3 linked regions of the Yarrowia lipolytica genome follow. The main gene of each other region encodes a partner of the protein of the gene in region 2 in a complex. Links are inferred from orthologs where the notes say so. Each region holds a gene or a part of one and is shown on either strand. Other genes may lie near its edges. The genes, in order: YALI1_F13366g, YALI1_E12067g and YALI1_E00551g.

What was found.
Region 1: YALI1_E12067g (region 2) and YALI1_F13366g share a complex: the UniProt entries of both Saccharomyces cerevisiae proteins name them as parts of the mitochondrial small ribosomal subunit. The link is inferred for Yarrowia lipolytica from reciprocal best matches to the Saccharomyces cerevisiae genes MRPS16 and MRP10.
Region 3: YALI1_E12067g (region 2) and YALI1_E00551g share a complex: the UniProt entries of both Saccharomyces cerevisiae proteins name them as parts of the mitochondrial small ribosomal subunit. The link is inferred for Yarrowia lipolytica from reciprocal best matches to the Saccharomyces cerevisiae genes MRPS16 and MRP17.

What each region holds. Positions count from the first base shown.
Region 1 is NC_090775.1:1,335,931-1,338,123, reverse strand, and holds YALI1_F13366g (mitochondrial 37S ribosomal protein mS37), read left to right. Parts: upstream 1-1,260; coding exon 1,261-1,440; intron 1,441-1,518; coding exon 1,519-1,608; downstream 1,609-2,193. Other genes in the region: YALI1_F13384g (uncharacterized protein), read left to right, coding at 1-133; YALI1_F13373g (ubiquitin-40S ribosomal protein S31 fusion protein), read right to left, coding at 318-770. UniProt on the Saccharomyces cerevisiae protein: Component of the mitochondrial ribosome (mitoribosome), a dedicated translation machinery responsible for the synthesis of mitochondrial genome-encoded proteins, including at least some of the essential transmembrane subunits of the mitochondrial respiratory chain.
Region 2 is NC_090774.1:1,205,285-1,207,710, forward strand, and holds YALI1_E12067g (mitochondrial 37S ribosomal protein bS16m), read left to right. Parts: upstream 1-1,435; coding exon 1,436-1,756; downstream 1,757-2,426. UniProt on the Saccharomyces cerevisiae protein: Component of the mitochondrial ribosome (mitoribosome), a dedicated translation machinery responsible for the synthesis of mitochondrial genome-encoded proteins, including at least some of the essential transmembrane subunits of the mitochondrial respiratory chain.
Region 3 is NC_090774.1:54,531-57,197, forward strand, and holds YALI1_E00551g (mitochondrial 37S ribosomal protein bS6m), read right to left. Parts: upstream 1,335-2,667; coding exon 1,039-1,334; intron 664-1,038; coding exon 642-663; downstream 1-641. Other genes in the region: YALI1_E00533g (uncharacterized protein), read left to right, coding at 1-76. UniProt on the Saccharomyces cerevisiae protein: Component of the mitochondrial ribosome (mitoribosome), a dedicated translation machinery responsible for the synthesis of mitochondrial genome-encoded proteins, including at least some of the essential transmembrane subunits of the mitochondrial respiratory chain.

The sequences.
Region 1 (2,193 bases), on a different chromosome or scaffold from region 2:
GCAGTTTCTGACCGGCAAAGACATCCCGGTCGACATTTCGTCGCTCAGCCAAAACGTGCTCGCCACTCCCTTTGGCCAGATGTTGAGACCCATGTTGGAACAGGGCATGAGCGGAATCACCCAGCGTCAATGATGGGTTTTATTTATTGCAACGAAGATGTAGACCGAATGAAGTACGGGTACACAACTACAGACTGAGCGGTATCTCGCTCGTGAAACAGACGCTGCGGTGTTCAGCTCTACTTAGAAAATTTTTAAACAATCTACAGCGTTGATTTTTGTTCAAGAGATAAATATACTAAACTAAATCAATACATTTAGGCCTTGAGGGTGAGGTGGCATCGGCCGCAGTACTGTCGGTCCTTCATGTCAGCCATGAAGACACCGGCACCGCAGGACTCAGACTCACACTCTCGTCGAAGTCGCTCAACCTTTCCGTCATCGTCAACCTTGTAGAGGTTGAGGACAGCAAGCTTGTTCTTCTTTCGCTTGTGCTTGATCTTCTTGGGGGTGGTGTAGACCTTCTTCTTTCGCTTCTTACCACCACCTCGAAGTCGCAGGACGAGATGGAGAGTGGACTCCTTCTGGATGTTGTAGTCAGAAAGGGTTCGGCCGTCCTCGAGCTGCTTACCGGCGAAGATAAGTCGCTGCTGGTCCGGGGGAATTCCCTCCTTGTCCTGGATCTTGGACTTGACGTTGTCGATGGTGTCGGAAGACTCCACCTCGAGGGTGATAGTCTTACCGGTAAGGGTCTTGACAAAAATCTGCATTTCGGTGTCGTCTGCAAAGAAAACTGTGCTGTTGTTAGTGGTTGCTCCTTGAGGTCCTGCTCTTCAGCTTTTGCATCGCTCCACTGCGTTCGCTGCGTTCGCCACCGTGTGGTGTGTCGTTATTACTCACCGTCTTTCTAGCCGAAGTGTCTGAAGAAGAAGAAAAGGAAGAGCTGCCGTGTAAATTTATTTCCATGCAAGTTGAGTGGGACTTCTCAAATAGGAAGTTACCCGGACCGCTATAATAAAACCTTATTTGATTTATGGTCACGTGGCGAAATGAGGTGGGGGGGGGGGAAACCGAAGAAAAAAAAACGTCGGTAATCTAGCTATAGCCGTAACTGACAATGCTCCATAGACCCCGTTTATCCGCCGTATCGTATATTTCCAGATTCCTTCCATTTTTTGCTGACTAATAACCCTAACCACCAGCATCTCCAACATGCAGTAAAATTTCACTGCAACATCACCATACACAAAGTCTCGAAAAATGACCGCCCAGAAGTTGCCCAAGCTCAAGTATCTGCGTGTCAAGAACCTGCAGACCGCCGAGGCCCCCCAGGCCGTGCAGCTTCTGTCTCGACTTTTGGCGTGCTGGTCATCCAACGGTGTCAACTCCGAGGCCTGCAAGGAGATTGAACAGGAGTTCAAGATGGCTGCCTGCAAGAGTGTGAGTATGAGAGGAGAAGGGTTGGAGATGATTGAGGCGACAGGGTCGGTTTAATTTCGTTTTGCAATTCTAACTCAGGTTAAACCCGTCAAGCAGCAGGACAGTATCAACTTCCACGCCAAGCGACTTTACCCCAAGATGGTTCCCCAGGGAAAGAACCGACGATAAGCGATGTCATCCATCGCCAGCATGTACATATTTATGAATTCTCTGTGATTTACGATACTGGGAGCGAGACGGAATTGGTAATGGTTGAAGATCGGAGGTGGGATGTGTAGGGAGAGGTGATGGAGGTGTAGGGTTTCCAATGGTCTGTTTGATATGTTGACGCCTCTGGGTATTGTAGTTCTGCAATTACTTGAGTTAACCAGAGTAACCAGAAGTTGTAGAAGAACTCTCTCGATTAGTACAATGTATCATAAAGGTCCATCTCATATCTCCAGACTGTAGACACTTTGCGACCACCCATTATGGCGATACTGTTGAGACGGTGCATGTAATTCGATTCGCTGTAGACTGTTGACGCTTCTTCGTATGCTTCTGTAGACCACTCTAGACCACTCTAATGCGCCGAAGTACCATCTGCTCAGTTCCAGCACGAGGTTCCAGTGTCCAGGTCCCTGTGATAAGTCAAAGGTTTTCAGTTGCACTACGATGCTGCAGGGCTACCAATGTATAGGAACTATAGAACCAGTCGATCCCTTCTCTACAGTATGGATATTCACACAGTTGTGTTCTACATCAGAAGCTGTA
Region 2 (2,426 bases):
GCTTTAACCGCCGTCGAATGATCGCCGTAATGCACCTAATGTCTAATGATCAGAGCAACGCACAGAGCGATTCAAAACGTACCGGATAGGGAGGTTACGGCCAGCCTCATCACATCACACCAGAAATGTATACCATGACATAAGCCATGTAATGCCAACACACCAGACATGTAGTTGCCATCACAGGCAGACATGTAAATGCCATCCACAAGACATTGTAGTGCCATCAACAGCAACATGTAATTGCCATCACAGACATGGAGTGCCATCACAGACATGTAATGCCTCCACTCTGACCATGGTCTAACCGTGCGGACGCTTGCCACCATCGCCAACGGTCACATGACCCGGCCCACCTTCTAGAAGATCTTCGGTGCAGATCGCTACAGGACAATCCCGAGGTCCACGCCGGCCGGCTTTATATGCGTTAATATCGTTCTTGTAGCGGGAATTAGCCCGTTGAGATCTTCTGCGCGGCTGGAGAGGGCGTCGCACGTGTTCGGGAGCGGATCCGGCTAGGTTTCTGTTGATTTCCTGACATTGTGTGATCATTTATGTAATTTTCGGGATTATTTTTGATTATTTTGATTTTTTTGATTTTTTTTGATTTAATGGAATCAAGGATAATCCAAATAATTCGATAAATCCAAAGAAATCCAAAGAAATCCAAAGAATTCCAAAGAATTCCAAAGAATTCCAAAAGAGGGAAAAAAACCAACAAAAACATCAACAACCAACCCCAAATCAAAATACACGTCACCGTCTTCCATCAATCAACCCGATTCTCTCTTTTCACTCAAATATGCTCCGATCAGCATCTCTATCAAGACAACTTCACAGCCACAATGAGCAAATATCCCTTCTGAATGTGAAACCAAACGTCCTGAAGAAAGAGCCAATTCGAGAGCGATCTAAGAAAGGTAGAAAACAGCTGAGGCCCGGAAATATATCTGCAATCGGCCCAAAATCAACCAAAACCACCCCAAACCCCCCATAACCTGTTTTCTACCACCCCAAACCGCCAAAAAACCCCCGTGACACCCCTGACACCCTCCAACCTGCTCTCCAACCACCCACAACCCTCCTCCCCTACCCGGCCATGTCTCACGATCACCGTTGAAGATCGTTGTGGCTCCCAAGCCCAAACTGAAGATGGACGGAACAAAGCCCACCAAACTCGTCGACGATCCAGCACGTGCCAATGCAATGCAATCACGTGACCAGACAATATAGCCGCCGCCTGCAATCTCGAAATCAACTCCAGATCAAAAATTAAACAAGAAATCTGCCCCAGTCGAAAATCGAACCGCGGACCAAATATTTGCTTACTCAGCAAACCTTAAGAAGCCCTTACCCTGACATGATGCAAAATGGCATGTAAAATTGTGTCTCCAGACGCACCGTGAAAAAACCCACCGACACTTATCATCTCATCATGAAGGGAGGAATCAGAATTCGACTGGCGCGATTTGGCCGACGACACTCGCCCCTGTACAACATTGTGGTGGCCAAGGCCGGCCAGCGACGAGACGGTTTGCCCATCGAGGTGATTGGCACATACAACCCCATTCCTGCCCCCCGGTCGCACGAGGAGCTCAAGAGAGGCGTGCTGCCGGTGAAGGACGTCGAGTTGGACTTTGATCGAGCAAAGTACTGGATTGGAACCGGTGCCCAGCCGTCGGACACTGCCACCCGGATCCTGATGCTGGCTGGCGTGCTTCCTGAGGACTGGAAGGGAGTCGACAAGAAGCAGTAGGTGGTCTGGGGGGTGTCCGAGAGTGAGAAGCATTGATTTGTGTTGTTGCATTGTGGTGGAAGCAAACGGTGCAGACACAGACACAAAAGGGCTCAGATCAGACACAACACAATCACACTATCACACGGACAAAAAGAGACAGACCAAAAGAGACAGACACAAACGCGAACGGAGTGTGACTGTGAGGGATGGTTGATCCGACGAGAAGCAGATTCGGACCAATCAGGAATCTTGTACATAGATAATGGATGTTTAGTTGAGTTGAGGTGGCTGAAGACGAGTAGTGTGATGGAGGTGCGTGAAAGGGTTAAGCGGTGGTGTCGAGTGGATCTGGAGCGGGCTAGAGCGGATCTGGAGCGGATCTGGAGCGGATCTGGAGAGGATGTGGGACACCGGTGGAATGAGAGAGAGGAGGGGAGTCAGAAGAAGGTCTGACGAATATCGAGGGTAGGTTCAAACAGGGGGAGTTGGGAAGCGAGGTAAAACGGTCAGTTGCGATCGCATTACATTGAAAGTAGTATCAAATTAATCAGAGACATGAGGAGAGTCCAATGATCATTGTTAATCTCTTGTAGGAGCAGTATCGAAAGCGCTGGGGTGTGTTGTGGTGGTGGGTGTCGTGTGTGCATCACGCAGACTCTTTAACGAGATTGGCGAGTCGGTGGATCAG
Region 3 (2,667 bases), about 1.2 Mb from region 2:
CACCGAGCTGGGTCATCTGCCTCCCTCGGCCGTTCCCGTCATCATGCGAGAATACAAGTCCGCTTACACTATGTAGGGGAGGAGGTTAAGAGAGGTATTTGTAAGATAGAGGAACGACAAGGGGGGACTAAAATATAGACAATAAACAGTACGTTAATGGGGTTCGTGTGATATTGATGTATGTACAGTACATACTAAAGGTAGCATATGCAGTTTTTGCCAATGAGTCGTCGTGTCATGACGACACTCGCATAGACCTTTAGACGATTAACGACTTGTAATCCGTGTACAGGTATGTACGGCACCAGTATATATCTACGATATTGCAGCCGTGAGAGATTTATTTGACTTCATATCTGAACAGTTGTAGTTACTGACAGTGTTACTCCCTCGTACCAGTGCCGGTATGTAGTCTTATGAGTATGCACACACACCCGTGTTCGAGACCATGTATTAGCTAAAACAGTGTCTCGGATACACGAGATAAGAACAGTTGTATCACACACAAGACGGGCAAGAGTCGTCTTTACTCCTTAACTAATGCCCTTGTTCTGAAGTTTGAACATACTGTCCACCTACAGGCACGCCTTAGGCAAGAAAATCACTTACACTGTGTCGAATATGTACATTAAATAGAGATGCTAGATGAGGGTTTTGCTGGATCTGTGTTAGTATGTTGAAGATGTGTAGAAATATAGTTGTTTGAATGCAACGAGGAACTGCCTCAAGTCGTATATAAATGTCTGGTCGCTTCTAATAGCTCGAGGTGCTATTTCAGGTAACAGAGGAGGAATTCCGACGGCTTGGCGAAGACTAGAATCCAACATGTCCGTGTCTAGACTTGGGTTGCTTATTCAAGACGCCACTCAAGATTAGAGAATGATTGTCAAAAGAGCATCTTAAATAGAAAAGGATAGAATGAGCAAAGACTTCATTTTTTGTCCAAACGGGCACTTCTGCTCACAAAATAGCTCTCGCCTGTCCCAGTTAGCTCTCCAGCTTCGTTACTCTGTTCAAGAGCAACCATATCATACTCACTTCTCATTCAGCTTGACGCAAAAGGTTCGAATCAAACGGGGGTCAGCCTGGACAGCTCGCATGATTTCGCCCTGGGCTCCGGGAGAACAGTCGAACTTCATGTAGAAGTAGTCGCCGACCACGTAGCTCTTCTGCTGGGCCTTCATGATCTGGGGCAGGGGCTTGAATCGCCAGCACTCAATGAGGCGGACCACGCCTCTGTTGCCGATGATCATTCGGCCGATCTGGGTGACGGCCTGCTTGGCGGCCGCGTGTGCCGGAGTCACCGATGCGATTCCAACGAGTTCGTAGAGCATTTCGAGTCTGTTGTGTAGAGGGGTAGTTGGGATGCGATGACGTCGTGTGAGAGATGAAGGTTGAAAATGTTACTGGATGCTGCAACCTTATTTTGGCACTCTGAACATGGTCGGTCTGTCAGTACAATACGTGAGTAATTAAGAGCACTTTAATATCGAGCCGAAATAGGTAGGTCGGATATATGAACAATAAAGGAAATTTACCTGAGGGGTCTGGTTGCTCTCAAAGTGGATAAAATATATGACTGCGTTCATGTAAGCCAGATGCTGCTAACATTCATCTCTAATTACTGCTCAGGTAAAAGTCACGTGCATTTTTTGCGTTCGGAGCATGTACCAGTATCAAGTATGTACTGTACATACCTGGAAATGACCTGTGGGTGCAACATCTCGGACAAGTACCATACCGGCAGGTATTGTAGCTTGCTCTGAGAGAGTCGCTGTATGTAATATCACTGACTACAGTATTACGGGCAGATGGCGTTTTAACCTGTTTTAACCTGTTTTAACCTGTTTTAACCTACAGTAGGAAGAGCATTGATGGCCTGTCACATTTCTCGAGACCACAGTCCTGGTTAATGATGATTATTTGATGGGGTCTATTGATAAATGGTATCTTGCAAGAGCTATGAGTGCTTCTGGGATTGTTTCCATTTTTGTGCAGCTAACAGACATTAGTTAAATGATATTGATGATGTCCTGGCTTTCAAATTTTACCCAAGTAATCAGCCAACTAAGACACTTACCTAAGTGCCTGGAAAACGGTGATATCTCGAGATACTGTAATAGTACAAGTATTAGGAACGGCGCTGGAGAAAGAAAGAAAAAGTCTACCTCTCCTGTATATCATTTGAGAAGATATGGATTCTCGATCAACCGACACACGTCTGTACTTGTAGAATATCTGTCAACTATTTCTCAGCCACTCGACTACTCGTGTGTACATACTGTAGATGCCTGTTTGTAGCCAAATTTCGTACTGTCCCCTATTCAGACGGTCGCCTGAAAGCTGCTTCCATAGTATCCTCTGATGAAGCACCGAGCCTGCAAGTTGTGCACATAAGTACGCATCAGACCCATGTGCGGCTGAATCATTGGTTGTGTGGGGTGAATTGGACCGTGGTTCCAGTCTAGGGATGGCCCTTCAGGAGCAATGACAGATCACAGAAGGGGCCCAAGTATTCGATTTCTCGAAGCTCAAGTCGGCTTCTATCATGTCACCCGCGTCAACTGTACTCAGTGTTATCGTGTTCTCAGCACTGAGTCTGACAGGCAGCTGAGTACGCAGTTGCAACTACTGCACATTATCGTATCTCGTTAAGGCGGCTGTCTC